5 linked regions of the Ovis aries genome follow. The protein of the gene in region 2 purifies or fractionates together with the protein of the main gene of each other region. This does not show direct contact. Links are inferred from orthologs where the notes say so. Each region holds a gene or a part of one and is shown on either strand. Other genes may lie near its edges. The genes, in order: MED19, POLR2D, RNGTT, POLR2M and RPRD1B.

Region 1 (4,202 bases), on a different chromosome or scaffold from region 2:
CTGACCAGGGATGGAACCCAGGCCCCCTGCAAAGGCAGTGCAGTCTTAACCCCTGGACCACCAGGGAAGCCCCTCAAGTTATTTTTCTGAGTGGTCCCTCCATTCCAGTTCAGGGAGAACTCCAAGAGGCTTGAGACAGATTTCTTTACAGCGTTTTTTTCTTTTTTTTTTTTTTTACAATTCCATTTCCATAGGCCTAACAATTTTATTTATTTTTACATCCCCAGTATGCGGCACACAGCCCAGCACACAGTCCGCCCTGAGAGACTGTTAACTTGATTTTAAGAAATGGCTGTGTGCTGTTACCGTGGCTAAAGAGTGGCTGCAAATCCTCGTCGCTCACTAGTTGTGTGACCTTGGACGAGTCTCCTAACTACGCCAAGATCCGTTTCTTCATCAATAAAACGAGAATACTACAAATACTACTCGCCTTGTACAACTCACTGGTTCTTTATTAACGAGCAACACTGGAAGAGAGTGCGAGGGCCCAGTCTGGGGAAGACTCTGGTCGAGCATGGATTGGGAGGTGGGAAGGAGCTTGGCCTCAAAAGGCAGAAGGCTGAGACTGCTGGGCGAGCTAACCGGCTGCTTTCTCACCCTAAACAAGAGGAGGGTTAGGCTCGGTAACAATCCACGCCCTACACTCTTAGCAGTCTGTCAAGTCCGCTAAGAGGCCCGGAACCTGAGGCGTTCTCAAAACGGTCCCTCGGGGCTCCCGGCTGCGACCACCAGGGCGGGGACAGTCAAGGTCGTGGGGTCCCGAGGAGGGTCGCTCACCCAGTCAAAGTCACACGGGTTGCCGTCTTCGCGTTGCGTGGGGAGACTTTCGCAGACAGGGGGCAGCTTCCTGACGAGTAGGAAGGCAGCAGAGAGCAGGGCTGACAAAAAGTAGTAAGGTCGAGCCAGCCATCGTGAAAGTCGCGGGACTGAATACACGAGAGCAATCAAAGGCGCTAGGACCGCCATCTTCTCGGCCCCCTGAGGCACCGGCCGCTCTCTTCGGCTTCCGTAGGTCTGGTCCCGCCTCTCTCACCATTGAAGGTTTCCATTGGGCCAAGTGTCAGATGGCCCGCCTCTAGACCCGGAGCTAGATCTCTGATTGGCCCTCTACGGCAGGTAAGGGAGGTGAGAGAGGGATTTGATATGCTATTGGCTAACCTAGCTGTCGCTTTTACTACCTAAGTCATTTCATTGGTTAAGCGATTGCTGCGAGCGGAGGCCTCGGAAAATTTAATAATGTTAAGGAGTATTTCCTGAACGTTCTCAGAAGGCGACGGAAGTCGTTGCCGGAAGAAGGTAGGCAGGGCCAGAGGCAGTCCAATGGTAAACGACTCCTGGAGGAAAAGGGCGGTACCCCGTGAAAAGATTAACCAATGAGAATCATTAACGCCAGACACCGGGACGGCGCCGGGGCAGAGGGGACGATGGAGAATTTCACGGCGCTGTTCGGGGCCCAGGCTGACCCGCCACCTCCCCCAGCGGCACTCGGCTTCGGACCCGGAAAGCCGCCCCCCCCGCCGCCACCGCCTCCGGGCGGGGGGCCCGGCCCGGCCCCGCCCCCGACCGCCGCTTCGGCCCCTCCCGGGAGCGACAAGTCGGCGGCAGGCTGCGGCCCCTTCTACCTAATGAGGGAGCTGCCAGGTGAGTCCGAGGCCCGGCCGAAGCCGGCCAATCAGATCGCCGCGAGGTGGGGCTGGGCGTGGCTCCTAGATGCCGAGGGAGGTGAGGGGAAGCCCGGGCGGCGCGTGCGGGGATTTCGGAGCTCCGTGTCGGAAACGACTGCGAATTCAAGGCCAAAGGCACGACAGGAATCCTCAGGATGGACTGGGAATGAGAAGAATGGGTCTCTGTGGCCGCCTTTCACGCTCCGCCCTGTCTCTGAAGCTGATGGTGGTTTTATGATTCCCTAAAAGTTACTCCCTGGAGGTTCAGACGGTGAAGAATCCGCCTGCAATGCGGCAGACCTGGGTTTGAGCCCTCAGGTGGGAAGAACCCTGGAGAAGGGAAAGGCTACCCACTGCAGTATCCCTGCTTGGAAAATTCCGTGGACGGAAGAGCCTGGAGGGCTACAGTCGATGGGGTCGCAGAGTCGGACACGACTGAGTGGCTAACTGAAAAAGCACCCAGGGTTCAAGTTTGGAATTTGAGAGTCCTTATTTAACATCCTTGCGGACCTAGTTCCAAATCTGCTTCCGACTTCCTGTTGGTTTGTTGCCTTTCTTTTTTCTCTGGGCCTGGGCCTTTCCTCATCTGTTGGAACAAGTGAATAGAATTGGACCAGACTCTTTCATTCAAAAACTTATTTCGTTGAGCACCTATTTTATGTACCAGGGGTTATTGTACACTGAAGATACAACTGTGAATAAGGCTGACAAGATCCTTGCCTGTTTGGGAATTTACGTGCCCATGGAGGAGGCAAAAGGTAACAGGGTGAAATCACAAAGCAGTTACGGCTGTAGGAAAAAAAAATGTGATAAGATTTAAGGGAGCTGAACTGCTTTAGCTAGAGTGATCAGAGAAGCTCTTTCTGAGTAGGTTACTTTAGAGTTAAAATGTAAGCGCAGAGAAAGAGCTAGCCATTTATGAGTGGGAGAAGGAATAACTGGATACAAAAAAAATGAAATCAACAGCCCCAATGTGAGAAAAATCTTGTAATGTTTGAGGAACAGAAGATCAGCTGGACTCCAGTGAAGTGAACAGAGGAGTGATAGATAAAGTGAGAGTGTAGGCAGAGGCCTGTGTTAGACATTTAGATTTTAACATATTATTGACCAGAAACATGTCAATACCTTTTTTAGAGAGTGAAACCATTAACATCACCGTGGGAAGTTGTTAAAGCTTAAAATTGATCAAGGATTCATCATACAGCTTATCATTGACATTATCATTCACATTTTGCTCTGTTAGGTTTTTATTCCAACCTTGTGTACCTTATAAACACAAGTTTATTTTCATAAAATTTTAAAAAGTGACACACCATGCAGTTTTGAATGAAGAAAATTTTTTCAGTGAATTTTATGCAGATACTTTCTCTTATTGTCCGAGCAGCACCTAGTGCTGCAGCCCACGGGGTCGCTAAGAGTCGGACACTACCGCGTGACTTCACTTTCACTTTCATGCATCGGAGAAGGAAATGGCAACCCACTCCAGTGTTCTTGCCTGGAGAATCCCAGGGACGGGGGAGCCTGGTGGGCTGCCGTGTATGGGGTCGCACAGAGTCGGACACGACTGAAGCGACTTAGCAGCAGCAGCAGCAGATGATAGTTGTTCCGAATGTAGTTCTGATTCAGATGATGTGACTATTAGACCAACAAAGAGACAGAAAACCTTAGTGATTGTTTTCTGATACGGAAAGTGAAAATGAAACTCATGGTGCTGGAGAAGACTTTACAGGTGTGTCAGCTGTAACTATTGAATGTAATAATGCAAAGTGGTAGTGAAATAGCTGAATTAATTATTGCGTTAGTTTCTACAAAAATCCCCCTTTCAATAATGTTACTGCTTAGTGGTCCAGGAAAGAGGTGGTTTAGACTAGGCGATAGCAATGGAGGAAAGAAGTAAATGGATGCAGGATAAATGTTAGAGGTAGAACTGACAGGAATGAAGGATTGAATATAGAAGTGGAGGAGAGAGGAATTGAGGGTGATTTCGAATTTTTGGCTTGAATAACAGGATTGATGGTAGTGCTGAGGTCAGGCAAGAACAAGTTTGAGGAGGTGGAAACCGGGAGTCATTTTAGACATACATGTTAGTCTCAGGGACATCTTTCAGTTCATCCCACGTCCATAGCTTTGACTGTATGGACCTTTATCGGCAAAATGATGTCTCTACTTTTTTAAAATGCTGTCTAGGTTTATCATAGCTTTCCATTCAAGAAGTAAGCATCTTTTAATCCCATGGCTGCAGTCACTGTCTGCAGTGATTTTGGAGCCCAAGAAAATAGAGTCTGTCACTGCCACCACTTTTTCGCCTTTTATTTGCCATGAAGTGATGGGACCTGATGCCATGATCTTAGTTTTCTGAATGTTGAGTTTTAAGCCAACTTTTCCACTCTCTTTCACCCTCATCAAGAGGCTCCAAAGTTCCTCTTCACTTTCTGCTATTAGAGTGGTGTCATCTATCTGAGGTTGTTGCTCTTTATCCCAGCAATCTTGATTCCAGCTAGTGATGTTTCAGTAGGATGTTTATACCTTCAACGACAA
Region 2 (4,025 bases):
GGGCCTTGCACTTACGTGTTTATAATGGTTTCCTGAATGAAAATGTGGGCAAAACAGCCTGTGAAACATCAGTGTGGATTATTTGCTGTTCTCTCTTCTGTTGCCTTCTCTTCCTGCTGTGTGTTAGTTATGTGGCTAGTACTGGGGCCAGCAAATGTTAAGGTCCAGTTAAGTAGTAGGTAGGTGCTCTGCAAAAGCCTGTTGGATGGATAGATGGGAGAAGGGGGCCTACACTGAGCTCAAAGACTATCCCATACCCAGCTGGGGCATGTTCCCAGACTCCTCTGGGCATTGGCCTGCAGCTCTAATGAACTGTGTAGGAAAGCACTTTGAAGCAGTAATAAGCTCTGCCAGCACTATACGACCTACCATTAATTCACCTGATACATTTCTTTTGGAAACACATACACAAGGCAAATTAACTTTTATAAATTATAATTTAAAGGAATTATAAATTAAAGGAATACAGATGCATACCCTTGTCTGGTAATATCGTCATTTTTTGTGAACAGTTTATATACTTATAGACGGTTCATTCCTGAGCCAAGCAGTGCACTATGGTTATTTTCTGCATTGTACAACCATCTGTTTTCTCTCAAGTTGGAAACAGAATCATTTTTCATTTGCTTGCTTACTCGAAGTATCACCCAAATGTTCCAACAGGCTTCTCAATATCACTATCCACTATTCCATGTTCAGAAGTATTGGAAAAAATCCACTACAAATCAAACATTTTAAATGCTTTGAGGCATTGGAGGAATTACACTGAATGTTTTCAGAGTCACCTACCCAGCTTCCCATCAACTAGAGATCCTTGGGTCGGTCTGCGCGTTCCTGCCTCCCATCTAATCCTTCCCCTGCGCCCTGGAAAGCGGTATCCTCATCCACACTTCACAGGTGAGATAGCTGAGGCTCAGAAATGCCAACTGAGCAGTCCCCACGACTCGCAGCGAAGGACCTACTGTTGAAGAAAGTGACGGTTTTCTCCTGCCGCGGCCGCAGGATGCGCCACCCCGTCGCGGCACTTCCAGAGACCTGCAAGACCCCACCGCTCTGGCCCCTCCCCGCTTGCGCCCGAGGCCGCTAGGTCCCTTGGCCCCGCCCACCCCGCGGTTGTCTCGCCTACCCATCGCGGCCCGCCCACCTTCAGTGGGGCCCCGCCCCGTCTGCAAGAACACGCCCCTTCCGTGGCGGCGACCGGAAGGAGCTTCCGCTTCCGACAGCGTGGGTACTGGTTCTCGGCGAGAGGATGGCGGCGGGCGGGAACGATCCGCGCTCTGGAGATGTAGAGGAGGACGCATCACAACTCATCTTTCCCAAAGGTGCGGCCTGGGCAGGCGTGGCGAAGGGCGCGGAGGAGGAGGGTGCGGGCGGTCTGGGCACGGTTCCGCGGGAACTGGCCAGCTGGAGTCCACACCGGCAGCGCTGGAGCCGTCGGCCCCCAACTCCACATCGCCCCGGGGGGCCTCTTGTTCGTGTTTAAGTTGTTTTAGTCCATAAACTAGGAAGTGCTGGACGGTTGTGTCAAAGATAAAGCCAACACTAAAGGGGTAATGGCACGTTTTAATCATTAATATACTATCGCAGTAGGGAAAAGCGTGAAGCGTGGAATCATCTAGACTTGGATTTGTGCAAAGGTGACTGGGCGTTTTAAAGGGAGAATGAAGGAATAGGGAGAGGGGTGAGCAGGGCCTCACAAAGAGTCAGGGAAGTGAAAAATTACGAGAAGCGGGGGTTGGTCCGTTTGAAGCTCATTTGGATTTGTTAACTGGTGGTTATGGGGTTAGGCTCCTTCCTTCCCAACACCCTTCGCCCTGGGCTGTGAGACAAGGGCCCTATCTTCAGATGTTGTCAGGAACAAACAAATTATTTTGACAGCCTTCAGTTTTCATAAGCAGCCACTGTAAAGGAGCTAGAGTCATCCCAGGGATGCAGCCTTGAGCTGTTAGAAATCGTGTTAGTGTTTTCTTCAAGTCTTTGTGGAACAACCTTGAGTCCTAGTCGTGAAAAGGGCGCACAGGAGCCTGGCCAGAGCTTGGTTATGAGAGAAGAGAATCTTTGTCAGATGGCAGCGAGTAAAGCACTGTTTGCTATCAGGGATTCTGTGCTGTGTGATGGACTTAATGTGTAATTTAAAAACCCAAAATAAGTAGCTTAAGACTTCAACATATATCTTACAGGTACTGAAAAACACGAAGTCAGTGAACAGTAACAACAAAGTGGGGAAAACTTTAACAGTACCTGTCTTTTAAAAAAAAATTGCCACTAATATATGCAGAGTAAAACCTTAAAGTCCACACCTTTTCACCCAAACAACTATAAATAGTGTTTATCCTTCCAAACCATGCTTATTTTTAAGTATATACTTATACCCTTCATTCTTTGCAAAAATAGGATTATGCTATAGAAATCATAAATTTTGTAGAACTGTTCTATTCTTTTAAAGGACTAGATAGTACTTGATGGGTGGTGATGGTGTTCAGTCGCGAAGTTGTTGTGTCAACTGTTTTGCAATCCTTTGGACTGTAGCCCACCAGGCTCCTCTGTCCATGGAATTTCCCAGGCAAGAATACAGGAGTGGGTTGCCATCTTCTCCAGGGGATCTTCCCCACCAAGGGATCAGGCCTCTCCTGCATTGGCAGGTGGATTCTTTACCACTAAGCCACCAGGGAAGCCCGCTTAATGGTTGTACCATAATTCTATTTATTAATGTGTATAGAGATTGCTTTCAGTATTGTATGTCATAGACTCATGGTGAAATATTTCCGAGGACAGCGTCACAGACGGTGTAGGCGTAATGGACATGTATGTTTGTTTTCTTTTTTAAGGTGTGATAACTGAGAGGTAGGTGGTTTTCTGAATTTCATGATAAACCAGTTTTTGGTACTTGGGTTTTGTCTCGGTTCTTTTTATTTAAGGCGTTTTGTTTGTGTGAACACTGTACAGTTGTAGGATGTGAAGCCTCTGGATTTCTGCAGGGTCAGAAGTTTGCTGATAGTCACTAAGGCAAATGAACATTTAGAAGCTGACTTGGGAAGAAATATTTTCAGCTGACATTTATGCTTCTCGCAAATAGAGTTTGAAACAGCTGAGACGCTTCTGAATTCGGAAGTTCATATGCTTCTTGAGCATCGAAAGCAGCAGAATGAGAGCGCAGAGGATGAGCAGGAACTTTCCGAGGTCTTCATGAAAACTTTAAATTACACTGCCCGTTTCAGTCGTTTCAAAAACAGAGAGACCATCGCCAGTGTCCGTAGGTGAGTGCTGAAAGAAAGTTCTTACTAACCCAGACTGCTGGGCACCTGCATGTGGAAGGCTGTCAGCACCACCATCCCCACTCACCCACCCCACCCCTGCTGCCTCAGGGGCGTCGTTCGTGCGATTCATGTGAGGAAAATTATGTCTTTGGCAAACTTTAACGTAGCTTGTTAGACCGAAATCCTCCTTGCCTACTTTTTCTGTACCCTAAATCCCACTTACCTCCCTGCAGAGTGACTACTGTCAAAAGTTTGTTGCTAGCTCTCCAGAGCTTATTCCATGAATTCATATACACACACGTCACAAACACACAGCCCTGTTATGTTTTAAATAGAGTGGACTTATTTATCGTTCACCTGATATGTCCTAGAGATCTTGCTGCATTTTGTTTTTTTTTTAAATATCTATCTATTTATTTATCTGTCTGTGTCAGGTCTTAGTGTCTGCACATCAGCTCTTCACTGCAGCGTGCAGGCTTCTCTCTCATTGTGACTTGCAGGCCCCAGGGTATAGGGCTCAGGAGAGTTCAGGGCTCAGTAGAGTACAGGGCTCAGTTGAGTTCAGGGCTCAGTTGAGTACAGGGCTCAGTAGAGTACAGGGCTCAGTAGAGTTCAGGGCTCAGTAGAGTACAGGGCTCAGTTGAGTACAGGGCTCAGTAGTTGTGGCAGATCCCTTTAGTTGCCCTTTTGCATGTGAAATCTAGTTCCCCAAGCTGGGATCGAACCCACGCTCTCTACAGTGGAAGTGTAAAGTGTGGAGTATTAACC
Region 3 (3,511 bases), on a different chromosome or scaffold from region 2:
GACCTGGGTTCCATCCCTGGGTTGGGAAGATTCCCTGGAGAAGGGAATGGCTACCCACTCCAGTATTGTGACCTAGAGAATTCCATGGACTGTAGAGTCCATGGGGTCACAAAGAGGCAGACAGAACTGAGCGACTTTCACTTTCACTGATGATTAACCACTTTGTTTATTTTGATTTATCAAATCAAGGTCACTATGAGAAAATTTTTTTGAGATAACAGTGTAAAACTTTTTAATCCTTTAGTTTGCTGTTTTGTCCAGCAGTAATTTCATTGATAATTTTTCGTATGTCAAGTATTATTCTAGGTATCAGGAATATACAGAAGACTAGGACATGATTTCTTGCCTCCAGGGAATTTATGATTTAGTGTACTGACCTCCAAAAAAGGCTACTTCCTCAACAATTCATTGGGATTTGAAAAGAAGAAAGATTTATTCTTAATCTATTATTCAATTTTTGTCTGTTTTATAATATACAGTTGTGTATATATGCAATTTATTAGAGGCTAATATGCATATATTATACACAATTGTTAGGATATGTGTTTAGATTGAATGCAAAATTAAAAGAAACTTGAAGTGCACTTATGAATGGGAATGTAAATTAAAGAAATAATTATAAAAGTATCATAAGTATAATATCAAAGATATTAGGGAGAAATAGGGAAGTATATGGGAGATATATGAGAGGTAGCAAAGAGGTGAGAATATTCCAGGTTGAGTCATTTGAAGTGTGGAGTTGTAGACAGAGAAAGTGACCCATTAATTGTGAAGGAGTGAGCCTAAGAGGTCAGGAGCGTTAGATGGACATTTGTGTACTTGATGTGTGGTGAGATGTGCGATGTAGCAGGAAATGAGAATGGATGGTGGTGGGGGGGGGGTGCAGATTACTTGAATAAGGCATTTTAGCTCAGTTCTGTGTAAAATAGGATACTACTGAAGGGTTTTAGTTATGTTAATGATACGATCATACTTTAATTGTTTTGAAAGATAACTCCACTGGCAGTGTGGGTAGTGTTTTGACCTAAGAAAGAACTCAAAACGGAGAAGACTATTGAGAAGTCAATAGTTTGAGTGCTTCCTGTAGTCTGTTCTCCATAATTCAACACATCTATCAGGAACTTCCTTTATCATGGGTAGCACAGATTTGAAGGTGAACTTACTTTCTATTTGTAATTTTTAGACTTCTTATTTTATTTCTTAAGAAGAAGCCTTGCTTGTTTCACTGTAATTTTATAGGGGTCTGAACTCATCTAATAAATGAACCTGACATTTTAGATTTCTCAACCTTGTTAATGACATAGGTGACGTGGAAAAGAGCGACTTTACTTTCACTTTAAATATGTATACCATAATATATATACTGTGTATATACATATAGAGGAGTGGATTACTTTATTTTTTGAATATATTTTATAAACTGTTCTGTATTAGTTTTCAGAGTTTATAATATATTTCTTTAATAATATCTTCTACTTCTTGATGGCTTTAAGGTGTTAGCATTTTAAACAACAAAACGATGATTTATTTATTTATTTTTTTGCTTATTTTGGTGTGTTGTTTACATATACTTTCCTACCTACTTGGATTTTAGTTTTTACACAGGTCTTACTAATTCATATAAATAATAAAGTGTTTAGTGAGTATATTAATACTTTAATTAAGATGTGAAAGCTTTGGATCTAAAATTTGTATTTGAGGAGATTTATATTGTTCCCCTATTTTCTTTTATATATTTATAATTTAAATAATTTTGTATATGTGTATTTGCACGTTTAGGTATGCTTCTATCATTAGTCTGTCAGGACTGGCACGTACGGTGGTGCAGGCTGTGCATTGGGCAGCTCCAAAGGATGCTGTTTATATAGACTGCTGTAGTGTGACCGCCTAAATAACTATTCTGATATAATAGTTTTTAGTGTTGAAATTTAAATAATTGTCTGGTTTAATTCAGGCACAGCCGGTTGGAGATTGTGATTTTAATATTCGTCTGCAGTGTATAGAAAGAGAAATAATAAATCCTCGACATGAAAAAATGAAGACAGGGCTCATTGACAAAACACAGGAACCATTCAGTGTCAGACATAAGCCATTTTTTGACATCTATGCTTCAAGAAAGGTAAAGTTTTCTAATTAGTACTTACAGTGTATCAAAATTTAACTTGTGAAAGGAATATGAATGACATTTTGAGGCCCTCTTTTCTTGACTTTTCCAGAAATTACTTGAATATAGCACTGTTTTGGACAGACATGTAAAACCTCAAGTCTGCACATTCACAAGATTCTTTTTTTTAAAATTTAAGTATAGTCGATTTACAATGCTGTGTTAGTTTCGGGTGTACAGCAAATTAATTCAGTTACATATATATGTATATATATTGTTTTTCATTATAGGTCATTGTATGATGTTGAATATAGTTCTTTCTGCTGTACAGTAGGTCCTTGTTTATCTGCTTTATCTTGGTAAGATTTTAGTGATGGAAACTTAAGTTATTCCTTGTGTCTCATAATAGTATTTGATTCATGGTTGTTGGTTTATGTTTTTTAAAAAGCTGTGAAAAGAATAGAATTATATAAAGTGAAAATCACCTGTTAGGCCTTCTGAAGGTCAACAGTGTTTAGTGTGTAGTCTTATTTTAAAAACTAATTTATATATATGGATATATATACATACACATGGAGAGTTTTCTTTTGTTATTGCTTTTTTGTTGTTTTGACTGAAAATGCATCATACTAAATATTCTGGAATTATTTCACTTAACAGTACTTGGAAATGCTCACGTGGAAATATTTCCATGTCATGCAAAGAGATTTGTAATTGCTGCATAGTGTTTGACAGTAAAGATGCACCATGGAATTATTATGTTTCAGAAGAGGTGTGGTTAGGATAGAAGAATACAGGAAATAAAGCAACATGAGCAATTACATGTTTTAAAATTTTTTTCTGGTATAATCTCACATGTTGGATGATGTAATTTTGTGTTGTATTTGAACTGCTTCTGCTCAAGTCTGCTCAATTCGGTATTAGCCCCTGGATATAATATTAACAATAATCTTAGCCCTGTTGAATGCCTGTCTTTTTTTCTCAACAGATACAAACTTACCATTCCACTTTCACATTTTGCATAATGCCTGCTTGGCATGGTCCCATTGGTTGACTTCTGGTGCCACAGCCTTCCTACAGTTCACTGCTTGCCTTTTCTGTCTGTTTTGGCTACAGGAATAGGGGTGCCTATAAGAGCCATACACTTCTATGCCCTGCCCAGTCGGTAGGATAAGGATAATGTTAACATTTAGTGCAGGTCACGCCCTTCATGGAAATCTGCTAACTGGAGCTGTGTTCAGTTCAGTTCAGTTCAGTTCAGTCACTCAGTTGTGTCCAATTCTTTGCAACCCTATGAACTGCAGCATTCCAGGCCTCCCTGTCCATCACCAACTCCCGGAGTCCACCCAAACCCATGTCCATTGAGTCAGTGATGCCATCCAACCATCTTATCCTCTGTCGTCCCCT
Region 4 (4,206 bases), on a different chromosome or scaffold from region 2:
ATCTGCTACTGAAAACCTTTTCAATTACTTGGCTAAAAAAAGAAAGCATTTTCCAGCCAGAATCCTCCACTCCAGCCATGTTCGTTTTACTGCTTCTACAATACGCTCATTCCCAAGTACAAGCAGTTCTCATACCAAGTCCACTGAACTTAATGCAGTCTCCCAGTTTTGGGAGTTTAACAAATATCATGCTCCTGTAACAAGCCTGTTTCTGATGGTACTTACACATTGGTTTTAAATTTATGTGGCGGGGGCATGGGATTTTTGGCTCGCGTTTCCAGCACTTCCATGTAATGAGGCTTCTTCTGGGGCCTACTCCAGAGGCCGGCCAAGTTCTCAGGACTCTGGTTTCCTTCTGAGTGGTGTTCAGTGGGATCCGCAATTGTGATCCTTTGCAATCTATCAATGAACAGGTTGTCTGAGCTGCCAGGATGATCCTCCACTTGACCTAAGGCACAATGCTGAGGGAGACCCTCACTAGCTTCAGATGAGGAAGGTGCTGGGGCTCTGCTGCTAGAAGGTGGGTGCTTGCTCACTGTGTGTTCAGCCTCAGTTGCCTCAGCATCACCTCCGCGAGTCAGATGTTCCAGTCCCTGTTGTCGTGAGGTTGTCTGAGATGATGTGATGTTAGCTACAGACGAACAGCCAGGAACAGGTGATGAAGTATCAAGTATCTGGTCAGAATTCTGGGCCTTATCTCTGCCCCCATCAACAACTGCAATCGCTTTTTGCCTCTCCTTACAGTCTAAGCTAACAGGATAAAAGAGTTCACTTCTTCCTCTAACTTCTTCACGTTCTGCAATGGCAGCTTTCAGTTTGGTGACAGCGTCTGAGATCTTTTTACCTTTGTCGGGCAATTTGCAAATGAATTTTCTACAAAAGGAAAAGAATAGGTATACGTTACATAGAGCCATGTTTTTAAACTTGAGATATACAAAGTAGTATTCTCAAAGGGAGAAAAATCGACCGTTAAGTCAAAAAACTGATTTCCAGCTGCCGGAAATAAGAGAATCATTACCCAAATACCCCTCAAAACAAGGGACTACAGGATGATTAGGGACTATGTCTTGTTTGTCTCATCTATTAACAATTAGAATTTCTGCAGAAGTATTTTAAGCATGATATTAATATAAGACATGCCCCAAATCAGTTTTTAAAGTGTGATTTCCAAGACCTTCCTGGTGAGGGGAGGTGGATGGATCTGCAAGGTCAGAACTATTTATAATAACTAAGGTACTATTTGTCATTTTCACTCTCTTTTCTTACCATGAGTACAGGGGAGTTTTCCAGAGGCAACATGATATGGATGATAGCATTGTTCTGATGGCTAATAGAATGCGTTTTTGTGTTCTTGTGTTTTAAAGATTCTCACTTGTAACTCCTAAGACAATGATAACTATCAGTCGATATAACACACATACAGCAAGAGCTCTTCAAAATGTTCAGTAAGTCTTCAGAGTTAAAGCGGTCCTGAGGCTAAAAAGTTAACTCACTCATTCTCACAGTCAAAATAGTTGTCTCTACCAGGAAATCCCCAAGTGATCATTTGCCACTTTGGCTAAGTGGCAAAAGTTCTTTTTCTGATTTCCTTTTCTTTAGCCATACAATAAATGTGGAGGGAAGGTTACAGCTCACACCCTCTATTCTTTATGACACTACATTCATTCTCCTAATTCTATTAACATTCCTCCCAGTTGAGAGGTCTGTATTTTCCCAACGTTCTCTTCTCTCTCCAGCCTCATGACCACTTCTCCAGCTTTCAATCAAATGTAATTAACTTTTCCATTAACTAAGCTCCAGTAAGTAAAATCAGTGTCAGACTATTACCCTCCTCCAGTTTTCCTACTTTTATTAATGGTGCTCCATACAGGTTGGAAACTTCAGCCATCTCTGTCAACCATATACTCAAATGATCCTAAGCCTGATCTAGTCTCCCCAATCCCACAGCTACCCTTCTAGTTCACTTTTTTAGAATCCCCTTATTGGAGAACTTCTCTGAAAATACCTCCTAGTCTCTTCTGCCTCTTATTCCTTCAAATTTTCCTGCACCAAACTGCTAAAATAAGCTTCCTAAAAAAATCATTATTTTTACACCTATTCTCTGCTAAAATCCATTAAGTCTAACAGCTAAGTGTGAACCAAACTTACTTTGCCTAAGAAGCCACTCTTTTACCCTACTCTTCCCACTTCCTACAGTTCCTGTAAAAAAATGGGATCTAGAGATGAAACTTACTAGGTGTTTGGGGCACTATTTGGCGGAAAGGGAGCGAAAGGACTGGGGATACAGACCCTCCCCTTGGAGGGCCGACACAGGCACTGAGTAAGTAAAATCAAAGAGGAGCTGAAACGCTGGAGAGCCAGAAACACGGGCGCCCGGCGCCCGGGCTGTACGCGGTAGCTCTGTGACTGTAGGCCGGCCACTAGCCCGTGGGCCTGGAACGGACCTAAGACAAGGTGACCTTCCAGGAAAGAGATCGGGATGGGGGCGGGGAGGGGCCCGTCCCAGGGTTCCCAACGCGAGGAACCCTGCGGTGACTTCGCGGGACCCAAGCTTACACGTTGCGCAAAAGTCTCTCCTGGCGCTTCAACATTTCCCGTAGCTCCGCCAAACTCCGCTGCCCCAAGTCCTCGGGAGTTTGGGGCTCGAAGCCGCGGGGAAGCGAGGACATTCTGCGGGGGCTGAGGCTGGCGAGGCGGTGGGCACTCGGCGTCCTCGGCAGCCCCCGTGGCTGGCGCCAGATCCGCGGCCGGCGGGGACTCCGGCGAACGAGCGGGAGTCGCCATTTTCCCGGAAGAACAAGTCTTCTTCTAGCCGAATCGAGCTTTATTGAAACGCCGGAAATAAACACGGACAGAGTTGAGGGAGTGGCGGCCGGGGCGGGAATCGCGGGGTGACGTCACGCGCCGGCGGGGCGCGCTTTCTAGTTGCTTATTCTTCCTGTGCCTTGGGTCTTGGCTTAAGTATTCAGAAAAAGTGAGTTCCTGGGGCCCTGTCCTGAAGGAGTCTGCTGAGTGAGGGAGGAGAGCAGACATTAATCAATTAACAAATGGAAGAATTGTAAGACGGCTATGGGCACCAAGGAAGGAATAACGAAGAAGTGAAAGACACGTGGAAACAGGAGTGATGAATTGGTTAACCATTAGTGAAGCTGGAGTATGTACCGGGCACGTGAAGCCCTGGCCTATGGCGTGGCCTTGCTAGTTCTGGGTTTAGTGAAGACCTCAAACATTAATGTTGGAGGATCATTCAGAACCATCAGCGTTTCTTAAGGCGGCTTTGTGGCATTTGAAGCAAGACTTTTCCTCGTTTTCAGGACTGCCTCAGGTATTGCAAGATATTTGGTGTCTATTTGATGTCTGGGTTTCTGCTCTCTAGTTGGTTTGGCATTCCTGAATCCTCCTAAAAATACAAAACGCACCCCCGCCCCCCGCCGCCCCAACACACACACTCCTGAGTCCTTGTAACAGTACAAAATGCATCTCCCCAACACACACACACACACACACACACACACACACACGATTTCAAAGGCCCACAAGAGGTGATGATAGTAGGAGGTGCTGCACAACAAACGGAGAACCTCTTTTTCACAATTACCCGTTTTGCCCTTGGAAAAACAAAGGCACAAAAACTGAAGTTTTCCCAGGGCACAAAACTAGTAAGTGAGAACATCATTGCTGTAGACACAAATGCCCAGGTGGTCTTTCTGCCACCCCAATTCAAAAATCTTGCAAAGAGCAAGAAAGTTTTTTAGGCTGTTGAGGAAAGCAGTGTAACTGCTAACTCTTCAGTGTAACACCTAACTCTTCTCTATAGTTCAGGTAAGAAAGCTGGATCCCAAAGAAAAAAGTAGGAAGCATGCTATAGTCTTAACAGACATCAGTTGTGAGGTTTGAAAGACCCTATAACCTCCAACCCCAGTCTCTCCCTTCTTTGATACGGAAAATTTACATTTGCTAGTCCTTTGTAAGGTGCTGTAACAAACAATTCCCTCCCAATCAGAGGGAAGCTCTAGATAAAATATGAGGCTATTTCAGGAAGTACAGCTGAAACTGTGTCTGTATCCTTACAATCTAGTCCATTCTGATCAGTTTAACATATCAAAAGTCTCAACATAAACTCTGCTTTGAAACAAGGATTTCAGTAACCTGCTCCATAGCTTTCTAAGTGAGAAATACTCAAGAAAGGCCCTTGTCAGGTATTTG
Region 5 (4,168 bases), on a different chromosome or scaffold from region 2:
CAGAGTTCAACTGTGGCAGAGACTGACTGAATAAACCAGTTTTTGACTCTCATCTTTTCCAAGTTCAGTGGAGCCCTACTGGGTTGTGGAAAGCAGTCCTTGGGGAGGTGTTGGAACAGAACTGCAATCAGTGTTTGAGTGAACCCATTTCCCTGGCAACCTCTCCCCTCCTCCCTGTCTCTTTCTGCTTTGTCACAGGCATGGGCGATATAAGACCTCTGTGCCATGGTGTACAGGTGCGGAAGACAAATGAGACACTCTGTATAGGATAAGGTGCTATACTTTTGTTGTTGTTGTTTAGTCGCTAAGTCGTGTCCCATTCTTTTGTGACCCCATGGACTGTAGCCCACCAGGCTCCTCTGTCCATAGGATTTCCCAGGCAAGAATACAGCAGTGGGTTGCCATTTGCTTCTCCAGGGCATCTTCCAGACCAAAGGATCCAACCCGAGTCTCTTGCCTTGGCAGGCAGATTCTTCACCACTGAGTTACCAGGGAACCATCCCTCCCCCAGAGTACGGAGTATTTCTGTTTCTGAAAACACAGTGTCAAATAGTGTTTCTTAAAGGTTAACGAACCCACTTACTTTCCTATCCACCCACAAAGTTAACATATGGTACTTAAATTAGAGCAACAGTCAAATGGACCCTCCTAGAGGGCAGCCTTTAATTCCCCGAAGAGCAGGAAGATCCCCTGGAGTAGGAAACGGCAAACCCACTCCATCCAGTATTCTTGCTTGGAAAATCCCACGGATAGAGGAGCCTGGCACGGCAGTCCATGGGGTTGCAAAGGGTCAAATACTAGTGAGCACGCACGCAGGCACGCACAACAACCAAGAGCACAAAGGTGTGTTTTACAGCGGTGCCGTCACAAACTGAACATCGGAACTGGCCACTAACGGTGGTTCTGGAGGTGGAGTGGGAACCCACCACGTGGGGAGGGGGGCGTCACCTCTGGAGAAAGATGAGCAAAAGCCAAGATGTGGAGACAGAAAAAGTGCACGTGCGTGGCTCGGCGGAACCAAAAAAAAAAAGCTTTTTGTGGTGGGAGGTCAGAAAGCAGGAGGAAGAGTGTGGCTGCGGCCTGCCAGGTGAGGGAGAAAGGCCCCGTTCCATTCCCAGGCTATGATCTCTCAACCTCATCGTCTCTCTGGGGTTCCCCTCTAAGGGCTCGCGGTTGCTGGGCTCCCTCCTGCTCGCGCCACTCTTCCCTTACCTCGTCATCCAGCCTTTCCCTCACTCTCCCGCCTCCTCCGCCGCGCCGGAAGTGACGCCTAATTCGCGCACCGCCCAGCGCCAGAAAGGTTCTGTGGGAGCGGGAGAAAGGGTTCCGATGAGACTCACTGCGCCGGCGTGCAGGCGCGAGCGGTCAAAGCGCCTTCCGGAGGCCGTCGAGTTGCGCTCTTTTCCCGGTCTGCCGTTCTCGGAGTACTCAAGAGCGAGATTCAAAGAGGCCTTCAACACTAGAGTGTTTTCTACACTCTGACTCACCCCACGTCGGTGCCCCACCACTTCTGCGCTTGCCCTTTGACCCTGCGCCCGCGGCGGGGTGAGAGGTCGGTGGCCATCTTGTGGCGGCTGTGCGGGTGGCTGTTACTGCGGAGACCCATCCCCTCCCCCGCCGGGCCCCCCGGCCGTCTGTCAGTCCGTAAAGAGTCCCGCAGCGGGTGGAGTGAGGCCCCGGCCTCGTGCCGTCACTCTTGCCGCCGCACTGGGCGGCCTAGGCCGCTCCCTGCCAGGCCTCGCCGCCGCCACCATGTCCTCCTTCTCCGAGTCGGCGCTGGAGAAGAAGCTCTCAGAGCTGAGCAACTCTCAGCAGAGCGTGCAGACCCTCTCCCTGTGGCTCATCCACCACCGCAAGCACGCGGGACCCATCGTCTCGGTGTGGCATCGCGAGCTCCGCAAAGGTAAACATCCTCTCCGTCCCCCTCCGGTCCTCCCCCGGGTAGCCCTCGTCCGCACCCACTCCCGCGGCTCCTGTAGCTTCTTTGCTGAGCCTTGGCTTTCCAGGCCCGGACCTGTGATCGATTGCGCTTGCTGAGGTTGGAGACAGTGTTATCCTCATTTCTCGGAGAAGGAAACCGAGGCCTCGGAAGGTTTAAGGTGCTTAAGTCCCACCGACCCGGGCTCAGGATTCTCAGTTCATCCAGTCGTTTTCCCCCTCTGGCTTCTTCTGACACTTGTGACTATTATTCTCTCGGCCCCGTTGAGCGCCAGGTGGAGGGTACAGAGCCTGTTGTGTGCCAGGCACTGACTAGGGATTTGAAGCAAGATTGCCCAGATCGAGCCCTGGCTCAGCCACTTTTACTAGCTGAGTGATATCTGGCAGTTTTCTTCTAAGCCTCTGTTTTCTCATCTGTCAAACGAAAATGAAGACAGTTGGCCCTTACAGAGGCTTTATTCTGTGCCAGTTAGTGTCCTAGGACCTTTCATACATCCTTGCACTTAATGCTCAGCACTGTCCTGGGGAATGGATATAGTCACTGCCATTACAGAGAAGTTAAGAGGCCACTCCACCTAGACCTAGCCTCTCAGGCTCCTCTTCTCATGCAGCTCTCCTTGGTTCTAGATCCTGCTCAGGATCTGGCCGCCATTGATTGAGCTCAGCCTGTCATGTGCCAGGTACTGGGTTGGGTGCTTGAAAGCCAACTGCCTGGAATCTAAGCCCGACTTTGTCATTTACTGAGCTCCGGCAGCTTAACTTCTCTGTATCTCAGTTTCCTGATCTGTAAAATGAAGATGATGATAAGTGATACTTACAGTGCGTTTGTTCTGTGCCAAGTGCAGTACTGATCTCTTTACACACATGTCATTTTTTTTAAAATTCTCAGAGTTCTATGAAGTAGGAACTTGGCAGGTGAGAAAAAAGGAGGCTCAAAGGTTGTGTGGTGAAGAGTAATCAGCCTAATCCTCATGAATGTCTAGCATGGTGTCTGGCACAGTGTAGGCACTGGATAGATACGGTGAGGGGGATACTGGTGACTCCATGTGTGACATGGTGTTTGCCACAGTTGCTTTCGGGGGAGGAAAGAGGGGCACCTACATAGCTGTCGCAGGCACCGGTGAGTTTCAGAGCAGAAAGCCAAGGAAATGAAGTGTAGCGCTGTTTTGGACAGCCTGTGTGTGTAGACCTTTTATAGCATAGGCGGTAACTTTACCTATGTCCTCTGCTCTCTGTGAGCTCAGGATGTCACCCTGTTATGCAGATGAGAGAACCTGTGAGCCTGGGATAACATCAGATTGGCAGACACCCAAATCCAGGATTCTTTTGGGAGACCCAATTCTAGTCCTCTGGCAGAGACAACCCCCCCGGCCAAATATCATGTGCTGTACCGAGATGTGAGGGGGCGGTCCACCTCAGCCTTCTAGATAGTTGGAGAATAGAGCCTGGGTCTCCCAGAACCTCATTCATGTACCCCACTGTGCCACTCAGATCATCTGAGACGTGGGGAGAAAATTTGAATTGCCTCTATAGGATCCTTTCTAGTAGGATCTCAGAAGCATGTCAAAATCCATCTCAAATGTCACTTCTTTTGTGATGCCATCTTGATTCCCCACCTCACCATATTTGAGTTACTGAGAGTAACAATTTAGAGTTCTTTTGTTTATGAAGCTAAATGGCAATCCACTCCAGGACTGTTGCATGGAAAATCCCATGGACAGAGGAGCCTGGTAGGCTACAGTCCATGGGGTTGCAAAGAGTCAGACACAACTAAGTGACTTCCCTTTAAACCCTAATCTCGTATAATGGAACCTTATGTTGTAAGTAGGTCAGCATTATTATCCCTGTTTTATAGATGAAAAGATAAAGATATGAAGAGATTAAATGCTTTGTCAAGAGTTATCCAGTTGGGACATGAGCTTTCTGTGATGAAAGAAATGTTTTACATTTGCTGTCCAATAAGGTAGCCTCTTGCCTTGAGCACTCAAAATGTGTGACTAAGGAAGTTTCAAATAAATACAATGGAAAATTCAGTTCCTGAGTTTTGTTAGGTACAGTGCAAATATTCATAGCTGCATGTGGCTGGTGGCTACCATATTGGACATTATAGAACTGGAGGCTGGTCTTCCAAGCCTCATGATACAGTTTTCTAATACCCAAGCTTCCTTCATGAATTGAAAATGCCTCCACACTAAAGTGGAAAGGGATTTTGTGCCCTAACATTCAAATT

Evidence for each region.
Region 1: the proteins of POLR2D (region 2) and MED19 purify together in Homo sapiens (affinity purification with mass spectrometry; 4 studies listed by BioGRID and IntAct, with this or other methods). This does not show direct contact. The link is inferred for Ovis aries from reciprocal best matches to the Homo sapiens genes POLR2D and MED19.
Region 3: the proteins of POLR2D (region 2) and RNGTT purify together in Homo sapiens (affinity purification with mass spectrometry; 3 studies listed by BioGRID and IntAct, with this or other methods). This does not show direct contact. The link is inferred for Ovis aries from reciprocal best matches to the Homo sapiens genes POLR2D and RNGTT.
Region 4: the proteins of POLR2D (region 2) and POLR2M purify together in Homo sapiens (affinity purification with mass spectrometry; 3 studies listed by BioGRID and IntAct, counting the BioPlex papers as one, with this or other methods). This does not show direct contact. The link is inferred for Ovis aries from reciprocal best matches to the Homo sapiens genes POLR2D and POLR2M.
Region 5: the proteins of POLR2D (region 2) and RPRD1B purify together in Homo sapiens (affinity purification with mass spectrometry; 3 studies listed by BioGRID and IntAct, counting the BioPlex papers as one, with this or other methods). This does not show direct contact. The link is inferred for Ovis aries from reciprocal best matches to the Homo sapiens genes POLR2D and RPRD1B.

The regions. Positions count from the first base shown.
Region 1 is NC_056068.1:79,750,234-79,754,435, reverse strand, and holds the start of MED19 (mediator of RNA polymerase II transcription subunit 19), read left to right. Parts: upstream 1-1,391; 5' UTR 1,392-1,424; coding exon 1,425-1,641; intron 1,642-1,699; exon of another isoform or gene 1,700-2,322; coding exon of another isoform or gene 2,323-2,422; intron 2,423-4,202. Other genes in the region: TMX2 (thioredoxin-related transmembrane protein 2), read right to left, coding at 778-966. UniProt on the Homo sapiens protein: Component of the Mediator complex, a coactivator involved in the regulated transcription of nearly all RNA polymerase II-dependent genes.
Region 2 is NC_056055.1:117,615,746-117,619,770, forward strand, and holds the start of POLR2D (DNA-directed RNA polymerase II subunit RPB4), read left to right. Parts: upstream 1-1,221; 5' UTR 1,222-1,249; coding exon 1,250-1,322; intron 1,323-3,076; coding exon 3,077-3,257; intron 3,258-4,025. UniProt on the Homo sapiens protein: Core component of RNA polymerase II (Pol II), a DNA-dependent RNA polymerase which synthesizes mRNA precursors and many functional non-coding RNAs using the four ribonucleoside triphosphates as substrates.
Region 3 is NC_056061.1:48,568,780-48,572,290, forward strand, and holds part of RNGTT (mRNA-capping enzyme), read left to right. Parts: intron 1-1,954; coding exon 1,955-2,119; intron 2,120-3,511.
Region 4 is NC_056060.1:50,699,620-50,703,825, forward strand, and holds the start of POLR2M (protein GRINL1A), read right to left. Parts: upstream 2,804-4,206; 5' UTR 2,670-2,803; coding exon 2,557-2,669; intron 874-2,556; coding exon 226-873; intron 1-225.
Region 5 is NC_056066.1:66,897,871-66,902,038, forward strand, and holds the start of RPRD1B (regulation of nuclear pre-mRNA domain-containing protein 1B), read left to right. Parts: upstream 1-1,367; 5' UTR 1,368-1,752; coding exon 1,753-1,903; intron 1,904-4,168. UniProt on the Homo sapiens protein: Interacts with phosphorylated C-terminal heptapeptide repeat domain (CTD) of the largest RNA polymerase II subunit POLR2A, and participates in dephosphorylation of the CTD by RPAP2. Transcriptional regulator which enhances expression of CCND1.